Linked DNA regions of Rattus norvegicus. The protein of the gene in region 1 purifies or fractionates together with the protein of each later gene. This does not show direct contact. Links are inferred from orthologs where the notes say so. Each region holds a gene or a part of one and is shown in the gene's direction. Other genes may lie near its edges.

Region 1 (4,193 bases):
CTCTCATATCCTGGCACCATGCCTGGCCTGGCACCCAGATGACACCGGGGAACGTTTGTGGAATGAATACTTGCAGTCTGGTTTGGGCGGGGTGGGGGGTGGGAGGTGGGATGCGGAGGGAGACAGTGGGATAACTTTGCCTGCGATTCAAACTCTTCTTTCAAAAGCCAAAGTTCTAAGCACTTTGCAGGCTGGAGCCTACACTTATTTGTGGTGTGTTGAAACCCATTTCAGCCCAGAGGCTTGGGTTGAAGACTTGCAGCACACCTCGCCTGGACGCACACATCTTAGTATAGCCGCTTTCTCTGAAGCCCTTATTTTTCTGGTTTGCGGTTTATTTACTTGAGCATTTACAGATTCCAGGAGCAAAGGGGTCCTAGAAGCGGGGTCAGGACCAGGTCGCGGTTTGTATTTCTTTCCTGCTTCGCGATCACAACATCAGCCAAGTCACAACATGGTTCCTTTATTTGCTCACTCGAAAGGGTTGCGTTCCTTTTACCTCCCACCGGGCGACGAAAGACAGACACAGCTCGGATTCAGAAAAGGGCTTTCACACGATTACCCCGCATCCTCGATAGCAGGGACCACCTCATTGCCAGACTTTTCATGCAGACACTAGCAGGATCCAATAAAGAACTGGAACAGATTTAATAAAGACAAACTTGCTTCTTTAATCCTTGACCGCAAAACACTGGCGTTTTTGTGCCTCGGATTTCTGAAATTCTTGGCTCCAGGACACAGGACGCGCGGGGGTGGGTAAACAGCTTGTAAAAACTTCCCAAAGTAGTAATCCGAGCTCTTCCTCTCTCTCTGGCCCCTAGTGACACCTGACTTTAGAAAAGGGACAGTCAAAAGAGAAGGGTTCACAGGGGTAAGGGACACCCTGTGGATCGGGCTTGCCAAACCTGGGGAGTTCGCTGCTTAGACACAGGTTCGCAGCCCCAGCCTTCCCGCTCGGCGCCCCTCCCCCGACCCTGGTCAGTGCGCGGGAGTCTATTTAGAACCCAGCCCCAGAGCCCAGGGCATTCTGGGACTTGTAGTCCTTCTGCGCAGCCCCAGGCGCCGGCAGGACCTGGGAATCGGACTACATTGCCCAGGGAGCTTCCGGGCCTATATAAGCGGCCGGGAGCTGCTTCAAAGTGCAGTAACCATGTGGATGTTCTGCTGAAGCGTTTCCTCAAGCCTGCCGGGGTGGGAGGAGAGGAGGAGGAGGTGGTGGTGGAGGAGGTGGAGGCAGGGGGTGGAGAGAGAGAAAGCGCACGCCGAGAGGAGGTGTGGGTGTTCCGCTCCCATCCTAACGGAACGAGCTCCCTCTTCGCGGACATGGGATTGCCCAGCGGCTGCTAACCCCTGTCCTGGTCCTGATCCCTCAAACCGGCGTGGCTCCCCGGTCACCAAGGTAGCTGCTGGGGCCGGGCAGAGGGCTCGGGGAGTTGGCACTGGCTCCCGTGCGCTGAAGTTTTTGCCCTGATCACTGGGAGTTCTTGGTGGCTTTGCATGCACTTATGCACTTGGCGTGTATTTTGGGGCTTCTTTCCCTGCGAGCAGTTTTGGGAGGCGGTCTGATTTTTTTTTTCAGGCTTAAGTAACCCCAAATGTCCTCGACTCTAGTGACCGGCTTCAACCTCCTTCCCCGTACTGAAATGGCATTCCCCCAAGTTGGAAACGGCTGGAGTGTTTGCAGGAAATAGTTTTCCCCCCTGGGGGGGTATTTGAGGGGGTGTCATATGAGTTTGCTCAAGGAAATAATCTTTCTAAAAATGTAGCTAGCCCTGTTGCGCTGCTTGGCTGGTAGGATAATGCATGCGTGGGGGCCCCCGTGGGTTTAAAAAAAAAGGAAGAAAACCGGAGGAAGCAGGGGCGGGAGCGATGAGAGAAGTGTGGACGGAGCTCGTGCCCAATGAGGACGCGGGTTTCACATACTTGGCCTCCACGCGGGGAAACAAGTGCTTTGGGATCTCAACACTTCCTTTCGTCCACAGTCTCTTCCCCCCACCCCCCCATCGTATTCGAAGTTTCTGCGTGCCTGATCTTTCTGGTCAGCTCCGGACGGGAAATAAGCATGCTGGGGTTGCTTTTATCTGGGGGCAAGAGATCCCTCCAACTTGACTGCTAAATTTGGAGGTGGGGAGTGGGATCTGCAGGAAAAGCGAACGGAGACTAAAAAAGTCGAAACCTGTCTTTGGGAACATTCTGATAGACCGTCGCAAGATCCCATACTCAGTCTTCTTTCTTTGTAAATATTTAGGAGCTGACTACAAAGGATTTGCATCCTTGGCTGGGAGTCCATTGGCTACAGAGTGCCTGACCTGGGTCAGGTGAGTGTGGGAGCTGAGTTCTGTAGTCAAGAATGTTTGTTTGTTTGTTTGTTTGTTTTGTCCTAAGCATTTTGTAACTCCGCTTGTAACGTACATAGAGGTAGAGTAGGGAAGAGAAAGAAACTGTGGTCAAAATTGGTCATGGTCTTGAGTAAAGATCCAGTGACAGCTACTTTTGAAGGTTGCTTAGAATCGAAGCATGGGGGTAAAGGGGTGGTGGGTAAGCAACAGCAACAAGCAGTAAATTGCGGTAGATTGTAAAGTGGGTGGTCCCTTACCAGCCTGAAAGGCACCCTCATTATTTAGACTCCCAAAGATGCAGAACTTTTCGTTTGCCAAGATCCCTAAGCAAAAGTGAGATACTCCTCCCTTTCACAAACTGTCACTTGGTTCTGTTCTGTCGTGGGCTTTCACCACGTAACCAGAGTGGGCTGGGTTGCAAGAAATGAAAGCGACAAATTGAAAGAATGAGAACTTAACAGGAAGTAAGAGCTTAAAGAATACCACTGTAGCTTCCAGGATTTCACAGGAGCCACCTGCATATCAAGGAACCCAGCGTGCTTCTCTTGCTTTGGTACCTGTTCCCGGATGAGGGGCTGAGGGCAGTGTTTCTGTCAATATAATGACATTTATCACAGCCCATTCCTAGAAAATAAAGCCTCTCTCTGTAGGTACACAGACGCCCCTATGGTTTCAGGTTTGTCTATCAAGTTTTTTCTTCTAAAATGTCTGGTAATTGAGTAAACAACAGGTTAATAGGAGTGGGGAGCTGTGGGCAGCTGGTCCTTGGTAACTTCTTTAATGTCCTAAATATTTAGCTGTTCCCTGGGCTACAATCTTTGGGCTTTTCTAATTAGTGAATGAAAGCCAGATACTTCATTATGGTAGCACAGTGCTTTTGTTTCCTGTTGATAAGGTCCTCAGGAGTACTGGTGGAGTGGGAAACATTTGGATGGGAAGGCTAGTTCTCCTATGGACTAATGTCTGTGTTGATCAAAGAGGGGTCAGTCTTCTCTTTGAAGTATGCTACAGACACCGTTAACTGGTCCACAGACTCTTCTCTATCTTTTGCCTAAAAATAATGAGGCTGTCCCATTAGGTTAGAGCAAGCCAGGTGCAAAGCTGTATATCACAGAAGACCTTAGATACGGGTGAAGAAACCGAGATTCAGAATGAAGTCACTGGGCAGCCCAGGCAGTAATGTGTACCACTTGTGCTTAAGTTTATGGGGAGAGAGAGAGAGAGATGCTAGGAAAAATAGTGAACCCATTGCTCTTAATGCCTTAACTCTGATTTATGTCTCACCAACAATGTACCAGCTATTTAGTTTGATGTAAGAAGGAAATGATACAGCCCTTGGCAGGGATAAAAGAATGTAGTTATTTGTAGGAGGATTTAATGTTGGGCTGAATTCATGTTAGAAAAGCTCTGTGTGTGTGTGTGTGTGTGTGTGTGTGTGTGTGTGTGTGTGTGTGTGTGTGTGTGTGTTTTGAAAGCTTGAATCAGGACAGTTAAGAAGGAAAACCAGAGGAAACCCAGTGTCTACGTGCAGTGTTAGTCCTGGCTCATAGTTGGAGTAGCTTTTGGTCATTCCCATCAAGGCACCTGAGCAGGTTGAAAGAGTCAGGTGTGTCTCTAGCTGAATAATTGGAAATCTTAAACTGCTTCAGTTCAACCTGTGGAATGTTGGTAGCTTGTCCTGTGGTCTCTGGTTTGCCTGGTTGCTAGTTGTATGCAGTGTTTTTCTTCTCCATTTCTTCTTCAGTCATGTGGATGTATGCATGTTATGAGTATACATTGAACGTATAATTTGCTCCTTGACTACATCAATTCGAAACAGAAAATCCCATCAAGATTTCCTTCTATCCGAGCAGG
Region 2 (3,648 bases), on another chromosome or scaffold:
CTTCAACCACGCACTTACTTCTCTAGTGGGAAAGTCTAGCCGATGGTCTTTTGTTTCCATCAGGTTTCCTAGACTGTTGAGACAGAAGAGAGGGGGAAGGGTAAACATGTCATTCTACCATAAATCTTTATAGGAATGGAGATGGGCGGTCCATAAGTCTTGTTGTAGGCAGTGGCTCTCAACCCTCCTAATGCTGTGACCCTTTAATAGTTTCCCGTGTTGTGATGAGCCCAACCATACAGTTATGTTCCTTACTACCTTATATCTGCAAATCTTGCAACTGTTATGAAGTGTAATGTAAATGTCTCTGTCTTAAGTGACCCCTGTGAAAGAGTTGTTTGGCCCCAAAGGGGTTGCGACCCACAGTTTGAGAACGACTGGTCTAATGGCCCTCTCTTGAAATTCTGAACCTGCCTTTCTTGCCTTTCTCCCTCCTCTACAGAGGTGGTGCCCTGCTGACCTCCACCAGTGGCCCAGGTTTCCATCTCATGCTCCCGTTCATCACATCCTACAAGTCTGTACAGGTACAAGTGGCTTGTGTGGTATGGCTGGATCATTACAAATCTGGGTTGTTGACTAATGCACAATGTGAGGTTAGTTAGACATAATGCCTTTTCAGTGACTGACTTAAGGCCTCTCTCTCTCTCTCTCTCTCTCTCTCTCTCTCTCACACACACACACACAGAGAGAGAGAGAGACAGAGAGACAGAGACAGACAGAGAGACAGACAGAGAGACAGAGGCTCCTACACCATATCACTTGATCATTGAAATGCTGAATGAACCCATTGCCTCACTTTGTCAGCCCCAAGTGGAAATTACTCACTTTTGAGGTGGGGCTAAAAAAGAATTTTTTTCTATGAATTTTTAGAAATAAAGTCAAGTGGGTGTGCATATTAAATCACAGGTTACCATGACCGAAATAAAACATGGAATTTTGCTTGTACTTGTTTGAAATTCAAAACTGTAAATATAATTTCATGGGGAGGAAAGTTGGTTGGGTAAGGGCCAATGCCATGTAAATTAGAGTAAGATAAGTTGTAGCCGACCTCCTCCTGACTGAGGTAGACTAAAGTATATCCAGCTAAGATGGGGCTGGAGAGATGGCTCAGCGGTGAAGAACACTGTCTGCTCTTCCAGAGGAGCCTGGTTCAATTCCCACATCCACAAGGCAGCTCACAGCTCATTGATGTCTGTGACGCCTGTTCTAGCTGATCATCGTATTCTCTTACATGTGCAGGCGAAACAGCGGTGTAAATAATAATACAAATAAATTATATATAAAAAGTGTATCCAACTAAGAAACTTTTAAGGCAACCCAGCAAGGGACTGGGAAATGTCACACAGAGGTAGACGCTAGCTTACACCAGGCCCTGAGCTCAATTCCCAGCACAAAAGAGTGAAAGAGAGAAAATTGAGTTAACCCAGCAGAACACTCATCTTCCCTTGCGAGTTTCTTCCCTTTGCCTTGCTGTGTGGACTTCACAGTACTTTGGGTAGCTTTTTCTTACCTGAGTCTCACAGAGATGCTGACCAGGTACTACATTCTGAAACAGCTCTAAAGGAGCCTCCTGCTTCAGCACTAGTAAAGTACGCCCTTCAGGCTCCACACTGTCTTTATTTTGTTTTTAATGATCCTGCCCGTCCATATGTGCTTCACATACAGTGACACAGGCGTAGTCACTTTTGCTTGGTTTCAGGTTACAGCCTGTATAGGGTACTAGTTGGGACAGTAGTCATGTTTAGCAAGAGCAAAGCTCAATCTGATCAAGCCACCAGTTATGATGACAGAAGCTTTGGGCCTTCCAAATAGTAGGGGGCCCCCTTGTCGCTGCCCATTTTACATTAGTTGTTTCCTCTGTCTCCAGACCACTCTCCAAACGGATGAAGTGAAGAACGTACCATGCGGAACCAGGTAAAGTACCAGAATAAGGATGGTGAACCGTAGCCGGTAAGCGAGGAGAGACTGGTGGCCACAGTGAGAGACAATGTGAGGGAAAAGCAGACTGGAGTGAAGCCCGGATGAGAGACAAGCTTCAGGCACCCAGTGCACTCTGAAAACTTATCATTTGCTTTGTCAGAAGATACTAGTGGCTCAGAAGATAGGAACTACCCTTGCTTTCCTGACATTGCAGAGGTCTTACTGTTTCCTCGTGCAGGTCAGAAGTCCTGCACACCTGCTCAGAGGCATGAGCCGCCTCACATTCCACAAACACTGTCCTCCTCCTGTTCACTCACATGTCTTAAGTCATCTCCTTAGGAGAGTTCACCAGATTCCAGCGCCCTGGTAACATCTTTGTCGCTTCTCCCTCCAATAGTGGTGGTGTGATGATCTACTTTGACAGAATTGAAGTGGTGAACTTCCTGGTCCCACATGCAGGTATGTCTTGTCACGTGTCCACACACCATATGTCTGGGTCCCACGAGAACTGAGAAGGTTCTGAGAAGTGTGAAGACTCGGCTTTTCTTATGCTGAGCCCTCTCCTTCTCCACAGTGTATGATATAGTGAAGAACTATACTGCAGACTATGACAAGGCCCTCATCTTCAACAAGATTCATCATGAGCTTAACCAGTTCTGCAGCGTCCATACACTTCAGGAAGTCTATATCGAGCTGTTTGGTAAGAATGTGGTGCCATTCCCTCCTCTCCCTGAGGCGAATCAGGCTTCGGCAGCCCTCTGTCTGTGTGCTTCTGAGTCACCACACCACAGAACGGGGGCACAGCAGCCAGCCACCAAGAGGGTTCCAGATAATGTCAAGAACAACCCAGCATAGTTGTCTATACCTGTGATCCCAGCATTCAGGAGGCTGAGGCAGGAGGAAAGCAAGTTGAAGGCCAGCCTGGGCTACAAAGTAAGACGTGTTCTAAATAAATACACCCCCACCCCCACCCCCACCCCCCAAAAAATAAAAGAAGTTAAGAACCACGGGAAGACTCTTGGAGTAGTCACACATAAGCACTGGAGGAAGAGTGGATATAGCAGCTACTGCTGGCCTGCACAGTGGACTAGAACAGAAGTGTCCTCACTGCCCTGGAATATTCTGTAATGGTTTCTAGACGAATCTTACAAGGCTTTTAGCCTAACATACTCTTTTTTTAAATTTTCTCTTCTCTCATACAATACATCCCATCCATAGCTTCCCCTTCCACTCCTCCCAGTCCCACCCCTTCTTACCCTCTCCCCTAGATCCCACTCTCCAATGAGTCTCTGCCGAGAGAAGAGTAGGCCTCCCTCCCAGAGACATCAATTAAATTCGGCACAGTAAGACAAGTCACAGTCCCCCACTGGGGCCAAGAGCAAGAAAAACAAGAGAGCTGTTGCAAGTAAACGGCAGAGCTGCAACCAGACGCCTTCCTACTCTCCTGCCCTGTCACTTAAGTGTTCCTCCCACTGAGTGCAGGGAATCCAGTGTTGTGTGCTGAGAATGGAGGTGCCTGCTTAGTTCTAGAAGTGAGGAAAGAAGTGTAGGTTCTTAGACTTCCACATCAAGGTCTATCTTTAAGGGAAGTCAGAGCAGGAACCTGGAGGCAGAAACTGAAGTAGAGACCGGGGAGAGTACTGCTTCCTGGCCTGCTTTTCGCGCTTCGATCTGTGCATTTTATAGAGCCCAGGACCACGTGCTCAGGGGTGGCATGCTGCACTGTGG

What was found. The genes of interacting proteins can lie anywhere in the genome.
Region 2: the proteins of Itpr1 (region 1) and Erlin2 purify together in Homo sapiens (affinity purification with western blotting, with the first as the bait; 4 studies listed by BioGRID). This does not show direct contact. The link is inferred for Rattus norvegicus from reciprocal best matches to the Homo sapiens genes ITPR1 and ERLIN2.

The regions. Positions count from the first base shown.
Region 1 is NC_086022.1:142,742,193-142,746,385, forward strand, and holds the start of Itpr1 (inositol 1,4,5-trisphosphate receptor type 1), read left to right. Parts: upstream 1-1,247; 5' UTR 1,248-1,399; intron 1,400-2,248; 5' UTR 2,249-2,318; intron 2,319-4,193. UniProt on the Homo sapiens protein: Inositol 1,4,5-trisphosphate-gated calcium channel that, upon inositol 1,4,5-trisphosphate binding, mediates calcium release from the endoplasmic reticulum (ER).
Region 2 is NC_086034.1:71,729,985-71,733,632, reverse strand, and holds part of Erlin2 (erlin-2), read left to right. Parts: intron 1-442; coding exon 443-524; intron 525-1,867; coding exon 1,868-1,914; intron 1,915-2,317; coding exon 2,318-2,379; intron 2,380-2,494; coding exon 2,495-2,620; intron 2,621-3,648. UniProt on the Homo sapiens protein: Component of the ERLIN1/ERLIN2 complex which mediates the endoplasmic reticulum-associated degradation (ERAD) of inositol 1,4,5-trisphosphate receptors (IP3Rs) such as ITPR1.